2 linked regions of the Macaca fascicularis genome follow. The protein of the gene in region 2 purifies or fractionates together with the protein of the main gene of each other region. This does not show direct contact. Links are inferred from orthologs where the notes say so. Each region holds a gene or a part of one and is shown on either strand. Other genes may lie near its edges. The genes, in order: YBX1 and PTCD3.

Region 1 (4,553 bases), on a different chromosome or scaffold from region 2:
TGGTTCTCACAGAAAAAGTTCCTACCCCTTGCTCTAAGCAATTGGCGATGATGGCCTACAGTAGTGGCAGTAGGAATGAAGACTCTGAATTGACATTTAGAGAGTTTAGGACTGACTCAAGAAGGCCTTTAGGAGGTGGAACTGACAGGCCTAGACGGCATTGGTAGGGGTAAGGGATACTGCACTAGCCTCCTAACTGCTTTCTCTACTTCCATTCCTTGCCCCTCTGCAACCCATTCTCCACTCCGCAGCCATTTTTAAAAAGATGCCCCTCCCTACTTACGACTCTAAAATTGCTTTTCTCACTCTTCCCCTCAGGATATATTTCCAATTCAATACACCTAAGTGACTCTGCCCACCTCTGCAACCCAATGTCACATTCGAGTCTTATTGAACTACTTGACTGCATTTCCCGAGATCCCACCCCTTCTCGCCTGTACCCTGTGCGCAGAAAGTCAGCCCTCCACCTTCTCCCTGCTTCTACTCCCAAAATACTTCGTGCTTCTGCAGCTCTGGAGTATTTACCGTGTTGGCTGTTTAAATTTCTGCCTCCATCAGAAGGCAGAAACTGACTCGCGAACTATTCCATCCCCAGCCGATAGTAGACGCTTAAAAAAGAACGAAAGAAGGTGGGTGGAGGACTTCAGTAACATCAGGTGGCAGCCTCAATTTTATCGTTTGTGAAACGTGGATAGTAATTCCTCTATCACATGGCTGTTGTACGAATTAAATGAAAAAAAACATAGGACGCTAGCTTGTTCAATAAATGTGAGTTGAATTAAATCTGATTTGTGGCCAGTAGAAAAACACGTTAACACTTGAAAAGGAAGACACATTTTTAAAAATATATGCCTGGTAAAACGGATCAGAAGGCAGGTCCCCACGGAGCACACCCTCGCCCTAAACATGCTGAGCCCGGGCTGCCAGAGCCTGCGTGGTCCCTCCAAGGTGACTGCTCCGACAAAAGCGTACGCTCTTCAAACGCATACGTTTAAGGCAATTCCAGAAACCCTCGGCTGTGCCGCGAGTACACGGCCATTAAAGAAAAGACGACTCTATGCCCGCCGTAATGTTCTCAGATCACAGGGACCGTATTTGGTGCAGGGAGGGAGGGAAGCCTTTTCTTCACGGGGAGCTAAGGCGTCGTCGAGCCCCCTTCCAATCCCGGGTCCGGCCGGGTAATCCCTGCCCAGCGTTCGGGCGTGCCTTTTTTTCAGCCGAGACACAACCCTGAACGTCGGGCCCGCCAGCCCGGCGACTGCCTCGTGGAAGTCACGTTCCCTCTGCCCGTCCTCTCAGGTACTCTATGGTTTTCGTGGCCGACTACTCTAATTCTAGTTCCGGTCTCTATGGCGGCCGGCGGAGGCAGGAACGGTTGTAGGTCGGCTGAATTAGCCGCCAGACAGCCAATGAGAGTGGAGGACTGATAAAATGTTAGTCAATAGAAGCCAGGGACTGAGGTCAGGTGGGCAGATTGACAGTACCACCGGCCAGTGAACAACGCCTAGGGCGGGTCGATCGTAGGGCTTATCCCGCCTGTCCCGCCATTCTCGCTAGTTCGATCGGTAGCGGGAGCGGAGAGCGGACCCCAGAGAGCCCTGAGCAGCCCCACCGCCGCCGCCGGCCTAGTTACCATCACACCCCGGGAGGAGCCGCAGCTGCCGCAGCCGGCCCCAGTCACCATCACCGCAACCATGAGCAGCGAGGCCGAGACCCAGCAGCCGCCCGCCGCCCCCCCCGCCGCCCCCGCCCTCAGCGCCGCCGACACCAAGCCCGGCACTACGGGCAGCGGCGCAGGGAGCGGTGGCCCGGGCGGCCTCACATCGGCGGCGCCTGCCGGCGGGGACAAGAAGGTCATCGGTGAGGACCGGACAGGGACGGGGGTGGGGCCTTCGGGCAGCCTGGCAGCGGAACCGTTAGCCGGGGCTGGGCGAGCCGGCGGGCGCGCGGCCGGTGGGGACCGACTCCGCGGCGCGCGGCCGCCCCTCCCCCCGCCCCCCCACTCGCTCTTGCGGGGGCCCGCCCGGCAGGCGCGCGCACACTGCCTCCCGCGCCCCCTGTGGACCCCGCGCGGCCGCGCGCCCCTCCTCCTGCGGCCGCGCGCCGCCGACCGCGTGTGCGACGGGGTCCCCTCCCCGCCGACTGGCCTCGTGCGCTCGGGCCCGCACGCCGTTGTTCGCGTCTCCCCCACCCAGCTCCCTTCCGCGTGTGCTCGGAGGGCGCGGCGCACCGCCTACGCAGTCCGGAGCTGCTTCCCCTTCCCTCACGTGCTCTCCGTCCGCGGCCTGCGAACACACCCATCCTGGGCCCGCGCCCCGGGCCTGCCCGGGAGCGCCCCGCGCTTCAGACTCACCCACGTGTGCGGCGGCGGCGGCGTGGCCCCGGCGCGGACCCGCACCCAGGCGGTGGAGAGAAAGGGCTGTCAGGTGGCCGCGGCGGGCAGCGTGCGAGGGACCGGATGCCGAAGCGAGACGGGTTTGGAAAAGGATAGCTGGTAATCGTGGCTTGTTTTGCTTTGTTTTCTTTTCCAGCAACGAAGGTTTTGGGAACAGTAAAATGGTTCAATGTAAGGAACGGATATGGTTTCATCAACAGGTGAGCTGCTGGGCTCTGAAGCCTCCATCCTACCTTCTTGCTTGCTTCTTGCTGTGCCAATCCACAGTCCTCTTCTGAAAGGCGTTTACTACCTCTGGTGTATTAATGTGATTTTTTGTCTGTTTGTTTTCCTTGACGACTGGAGGGATTTGGGTTTAGAGAATGCCTTTGTTTTGCAGCTAAATATTAATTTGAAGCTAACTTCAAGGGCTTCGTCACAGCACAAAGCAATTTAAAAGGCAAGCGGAGTGAATGAGCCATTCCTTAACAGGGTAAACGGGAAAGTACGGTCCAGTAGATTTTTATTCTTGTCATCCTTTTCTACTTTATTGAACTCGGTATTTGAGAATGTGATCCACTGACATCGGATATTTACGCCTTGTTAACATTTTGGGGGTAAGAGGATTTGACGTGTCAAGTATATGAGGTTTTGTCATCTTTACCGAGAGGTTGTATTGCCTTTGTTTCACGTTTCATTTTAATACCTGAGATAAATTCTGTATTAGCACAGCTTTGACCAGAGAGAACTGTTTTTATTTGTTCATAAATAATATATCTGCAAGAAAATGGTTTTTTTCCTTCAGTTCTTATTTCATTCTTCCTTGTCCTAAAATCATGCTGATGAAGTCAATTTCCGCTAGATCCCTGGCTGTAGCTTATTAGAGTGGCCATAGTCACTAGTAACTTGACATTGTTCTTCCTGTTTGAAGGTAAAGCTGCAGATACGTCTTTAGGACTTACCCTTCGGGTTGTTTGTGGCAGTGGTGGTGGTAACGTGCAGTAGACGCACAGTATTCCATGGGCTTCCTTGTGAGCCGGGCATCATTTTCAAGATGGCTGCCAAGGCTAGTAGTGCAGTTACATGGGTGTAGAGCACTGGGTATGCCAGTAGCAATCTTGGCCTCACAGGTATGGTACTTAAGTGCCATCTCAGCATTCTCTTGCTTACTTACTGTAGAAGACCTAAGCAGATGATTAAAAGAACAACGTGGAATGGACAACAAATGGGCAAAATCAAGCTTAAGGACAGATTCATGGCCTGATGAAAAACTGTTCATTAATCAATCATAGAGTATTGTGGAAATACTTAAAGTAAGAGATAAGCATTTGATGATCTATTCTCTACTTTTGCAATTGTGGGAAAACATTTTGTTTCTTCCAGAATCTTAGGATTTTCCAACTTGTTCTATACTGTTTGCCTTCCTGGCTGGCTGAAACTACGGTTTTCATTAATTTTTTGATAAAAGCTTACTAGCAAAGAAGAAAGGGAATGCTTATATATGATTGGTAAACTGATAGCTTTTTAACTGATCTGTCTGAATTTGTTAGTGTTTTAGTTTGTATTTGTGTCTTACTGACTGTCCTTACTAGTCTAACTCTTAAACCAGTGGTTTTCAAATTTAAGTGTGCTTACGTTGGAAGGGTGTGATTTAAGTGGTGTATTTCTTCTGAGCTTTGGATTCATTAGGTCTGGGTACATTTTTAACAGGAATGATAATGGTCTTCGGGCCATACCTTCAAAATCACTGCTTTTAACCCTTGACCCAATGTAATGGTAACTCTGGTGTGCAAATATGCATCCTTTTCAGCAGATAGATCGCAGTTTTTGTATGTGTTTAAGAAGTTTTAGCATGTGCCTTGTTTCGCTGCATTTTTTTTTTAAGTGGGCATAGGTTATGACATTTTTTGAAATCAATAGTTTTGTCCAAAATAAGAGTATTATCTTTACACTTTATAAGTATTTAGTCCATGAGATACTATTCATTGAATATCTCTGTTCTGAATTGGAATCAACTCAGTTGGTCATCCTCCAGGGCAAGTTATGAATTGGCTTTTGATGGTCCTTTGGACTATCCTAACCTCGATTATTTTGTCAGATTAACTGGTTAAAATATTCTTTATGCTTCTGAACTGGTTGTTTTAATTATTCTGGGATTTTTTTAATAAGATGCTGTAAA
Region 2 (3,812 bases):
ACAGTAACAAATTCACCAAATCTTTATCTTGTCTTCTTTGTAACAGTGTTAAATATTAGCATATCTTAGTTCTCAGGTGTGATTCCAGCAGCTACGGTGAGGCCATTGCTGCTCCTGAATCTCCACTTTCATTTGCCTTCACTGGTGTCACTGTCGCTGTCACTGCTGCTGTCAGTATCACTGTCACTGGTCAGTGCAGTTAGGTTACCTAGGGCTTCCCTGTTAAGAAAAGAAAATGGAGGATTACACTGCAATTCAATTAGGTGCTGGGGTTCTTGGTGTCTCTGACACTCACCTATAGCCTATCAGTTTTGAAAGCAGAAAAAGGGACCCTGCAGCTGCATTAAAGTATATTAGGAACAAAAAGATTCTAACAGTCAAATCTAGAGGCCTTCCTGACTTGCATAACAAATGAAATCATCATTAAATTACTACATTCTGACCTTCTGCAAGGAAATACAGGGGATAGAAAGCTATGAACATTTTGAATGGGCAGATGGACGAAAGGTCTGCACCATTTTACAAACTTTCCTTCGTGGTGACCCACTTACTTTTGTTGCAGGTTGATTGCAAAATCAGTCATTACTCTCTGGGTGAGGCCCTCACAACTAGGTAAGCTGAAGGCACTTGCCAGCTTTACTACTTCAATGGCCTGGGAAGGGCTGTTAGATGCTTTTGCACAGTCCATAAACTCATTCAGCAACTCATTTCTGTAAAAGAAAGGCAAAGTGTGAACTTTCTCCAGCCTCTTTAGTAAAACATTTATAGACAAGATCCAGTATAAGTTCAGTAATAGATTCCCAACAGTACTTCTGGAGACAAAATTAGATGAAGTCTAACATTTATTTTGTTTCCAGTGAGGCTGGAAAGTCTAAAGGGCCAAAGGGATTTTCAATATGACTTCATGATGATCTATTCTGTGTAGCTCATGGTGACCCGTGAGCACAGATAAAAAACTGCTTGCCTCAGGACGCCCTGGATAGTAGGGAGTTGACGGTATGCTTGCCTAACAGAAGAGTGCCCAAATGTGGTGGCTAAGGCTGGTGAAGAAATTCCAAATGTGGCTACTTCTAGGCCGTACTCAAAGAGAGCTGACTGATTTCAACTTACCTAGGGATCTTATTATGCTTCCTGAAAAGCCCCAACATTTTCCTGTTCAAGATAGGAAAAAAATTATGAATACTATTAGAAAAACAAGGCAATCAGATACTATAGCTGTCATCCCTCTGTAATCACAGACTAAATGCCCTTTTCTTAACTACACTGTAAGCTCCCAAAGACACACATCTGTGGGCTCTACTAGCTCCCAGCCCTGCGTATACATGAGAATCACCACAGGTGCTTAAACTCCCCAAATGAATCTATACTGCAATTTTCACAGGTAAATCTGATACGCTACCAATGTCAAGATTTGCTGGTATAGGTTGAATATTCCTGATCCAAAAATGCTCCAAAATCTAAAACCCCATACACTTCTGGTCTCAAGCATTTTGGAAAAGGGATACTCCAACTGTATTTGTCCTCTTGTAGAGGATCACCACTGTCCTAGGGAGGGAATCCATCCTGTGCACAGCTGGAAAAGAGGCAAACAGAACAATGCTGTTTCCCTCTCTTAAAATACGGCAGGGGTTCAGTCTGTCTTAGAATTCTGTTATGAAGAGCAGGCTCAGATTGAGGCAACAGTCTCATGTAAGTGCTCCCCATTAGCCTGCCACACGCAGGACAAAAGAGAAACACATACATTCAGCTCCCATGACTCAGCTGAGGTCCGTACCCCTGCGCCAATCATCACAGCCTGGTCGTATCAAGTGTGTGCCAAACTGCCTGAGCTAACAACCAAATGCCAATGTCATACGTCTCTGTCACTAGCAGCATAGTTGCTAGAGGAGCATGTGTGAGCCGCACCTCAAAGACAAGCCTTCATCATCTTTTCCTGGAGATAGGTGACTGGCAATCGGATGTTCAAATAGTTACTTTCTTGTACAAGGAGCCATGCACAAGCACCTCCCACTCGTGACTCTTAGAACACACATTTATATACAAAACAAAATACAGGAAAACCACCTGTCACTATCCCTACAAAAGATCCTTTTGCTCATTTTTGGAAACATGAATATGGCTAAGGTTCCCATTCACAAACACAAAAATTAGTATGTGAATGAAATGCTGATAAAAACATAACCAGAACACAGCGGCACCAACCAAGGATGGGTTGTGGTCAAGGCCAAGTTTAGTTAATGTGCGTAAATGCCAGCTTCCAGATGTCTAAGTACACAGCCCACATTTTAAGCTGGAGAGCGGGATGGGAGAAGCATCCAAAAATACTTCAATAACCCAAATGACCAAAACATTTTCAAAACTATGTTTCCTTGATCATGTTTCTTTGATCTTTAGTCCATTTAAGTGGAGTAATGGGGTTAAGTGACTTACTTGTCCATAGACACAGAAAGTAGAAAGGGAAAGATAATTAATTCTCAGCCTATGGTTTGAGAGAACCAGGCCTTATCTCAAATACATCATGCATATTGTCTTCTTCCAAAAGTTTCCTTTTTAGTTGGTATTTGCAAGTTCCCGAATCAAATACTTGTTACATGGCCAAATGAGAGAATGGCCAAATCAGAGAACTTCTACCAGCGTGGGTCAATGTTTTAGATCCAAATACAAAAGCTTCTAAAGTGTAAACTTGTGGTACTGTACTCACCAGGCTTCCTGAGTTCTCCCAGCCCTTAAAAAGAGGACAGCTATACAGTTGAGAGGGATGACTGGCCAATCCTGAGCAGTCTGTCTGATGGGTTGGCTTTCATATGTAGATTTGATATCAGCAGCACAGTCAGCAAATGCCACCTGAAGCTGAGAAGCTTTAGGAGTCAGCAGAACCGCCTAACTGATTTTGTGAGAATTTCAGTTCAGAATTACAGGATCCTTAAATTCTGAGAAATGCATTTTACCATTTGAATATATTATGTGTATAGCACACGAGTAATTAAAAAAGGACCCTGTCCTAAGTATTTTGATTAGCCACAAACTTTCACATTCAGCTATGCATTTCCTTTATAGATGGAGATTTTTTAAAAAGCAAGCTGAAGACAGAAGCTAATTTCATGTTGCCTGTTTTGGACTACAGGAAAGAGGGTAACTTTAAGGACAGATTTCTGCTAAAGGCAAGATATGTTTAGATGTATCATCACTCAAATATGGGTTTGGGTGGCAGAACTCTCCAAAATGGCAGATGAAACTGGGGAAGCTAGCCTTAAGACCTCAGTATGGGAGGATATACTGGCTGGAGTTTCAGGCCTACCTCTGGTGGGTGTTTGTCCCTTGCCATGAGCATCAGGATCTCTTCTCTCAGGTCGTTGCGGAACTTGAAACCATATTCTTTACTATCTTGAGACAAGAAAGGAACAAGGAGTGATCATTGTTATGTAAAACCAACACTCTCTTGTTCACTGTCAACCTATTTTTTGCTCGGTAAAAATAAGTTGCTGTTATTTATTCTAGGCTTATCCCAGGATTCCAGAAACCCACCAGGATTCAAGGTGGAACAAATGTAAAAGCCAATGCCTGGGCCTTGTTCCAGTGAAGTGTTTGTTCATCACAGCACGTGCACTACATGGGAGCGGTCACCAGCTCCACGTGGTAAGACACTGTTTTATAGCACTTGGGAATTTTTGATATACTTTTATTACTCATTACAGCAGTCTTGTGAAGCAGGAGGGCAGGACTAGAGCCTACTTACTTATAATACAGTAGTCACCTAGTGGAAGATACAGAGTATCTATTTCATTTTGCAGTCAAGTTATACACATAAGACA

What was found.
Region 1: the proteins of PTCD3 (region 2) and YBX1 purify together in Homo sapiens (co-immunoprecipitation; 4 studies listed by BioGRID and IntAct, with this or other methods). This does not show direct contact. The link is inferred for Macaca fascicularis from reciprocal best matches to the Homo sapiens genes PTCD3 and YBX1.

Annotation. Positions count from the first base shown.
Region 1 is NC_088375.1:192,186,538-192,191,090, reverse strand, and holds the start of YBX1 (Y-box-binding protein 1), read left to right. Parts: upstream 1-1,555; 5' UTR 1,556-1,694; coding exon 1,695-2,494; intron 2,495-2,531; coding exon of another isoform or gene 2,532-2,595; intron 2,596-4,553. UniProt on the Homo sapiens protein: DNA- and RNA-binding protein involved in various processes, such as translational repression, RNA stabilization, mRNA splicing, DNA repair and transcription regulation.
Region 2 is NC_088387.1:35,442,389-35,446,200, forward strand, and holds part of PTCD3 (small ribosomal subunit protein mS39), read right to left. Parts: intron 3,385-3,812; coding exon 3,299-3,384; intron 2,851-3,298; coding exon 2,702-2,850; intron 1,799-2,701; exon of another isoform or gene 1,662-1,798; intron 1,153-1,661; coding exon 1,111-1,152; intron 711-1,110; coding exon 552-710; intron 220-551; coding exon 129-219; 3' UTR 1-128. UniProt on the Homo sapiens protein: Mitochondrial RNA-binding protein that has a role in mitochondrial translation.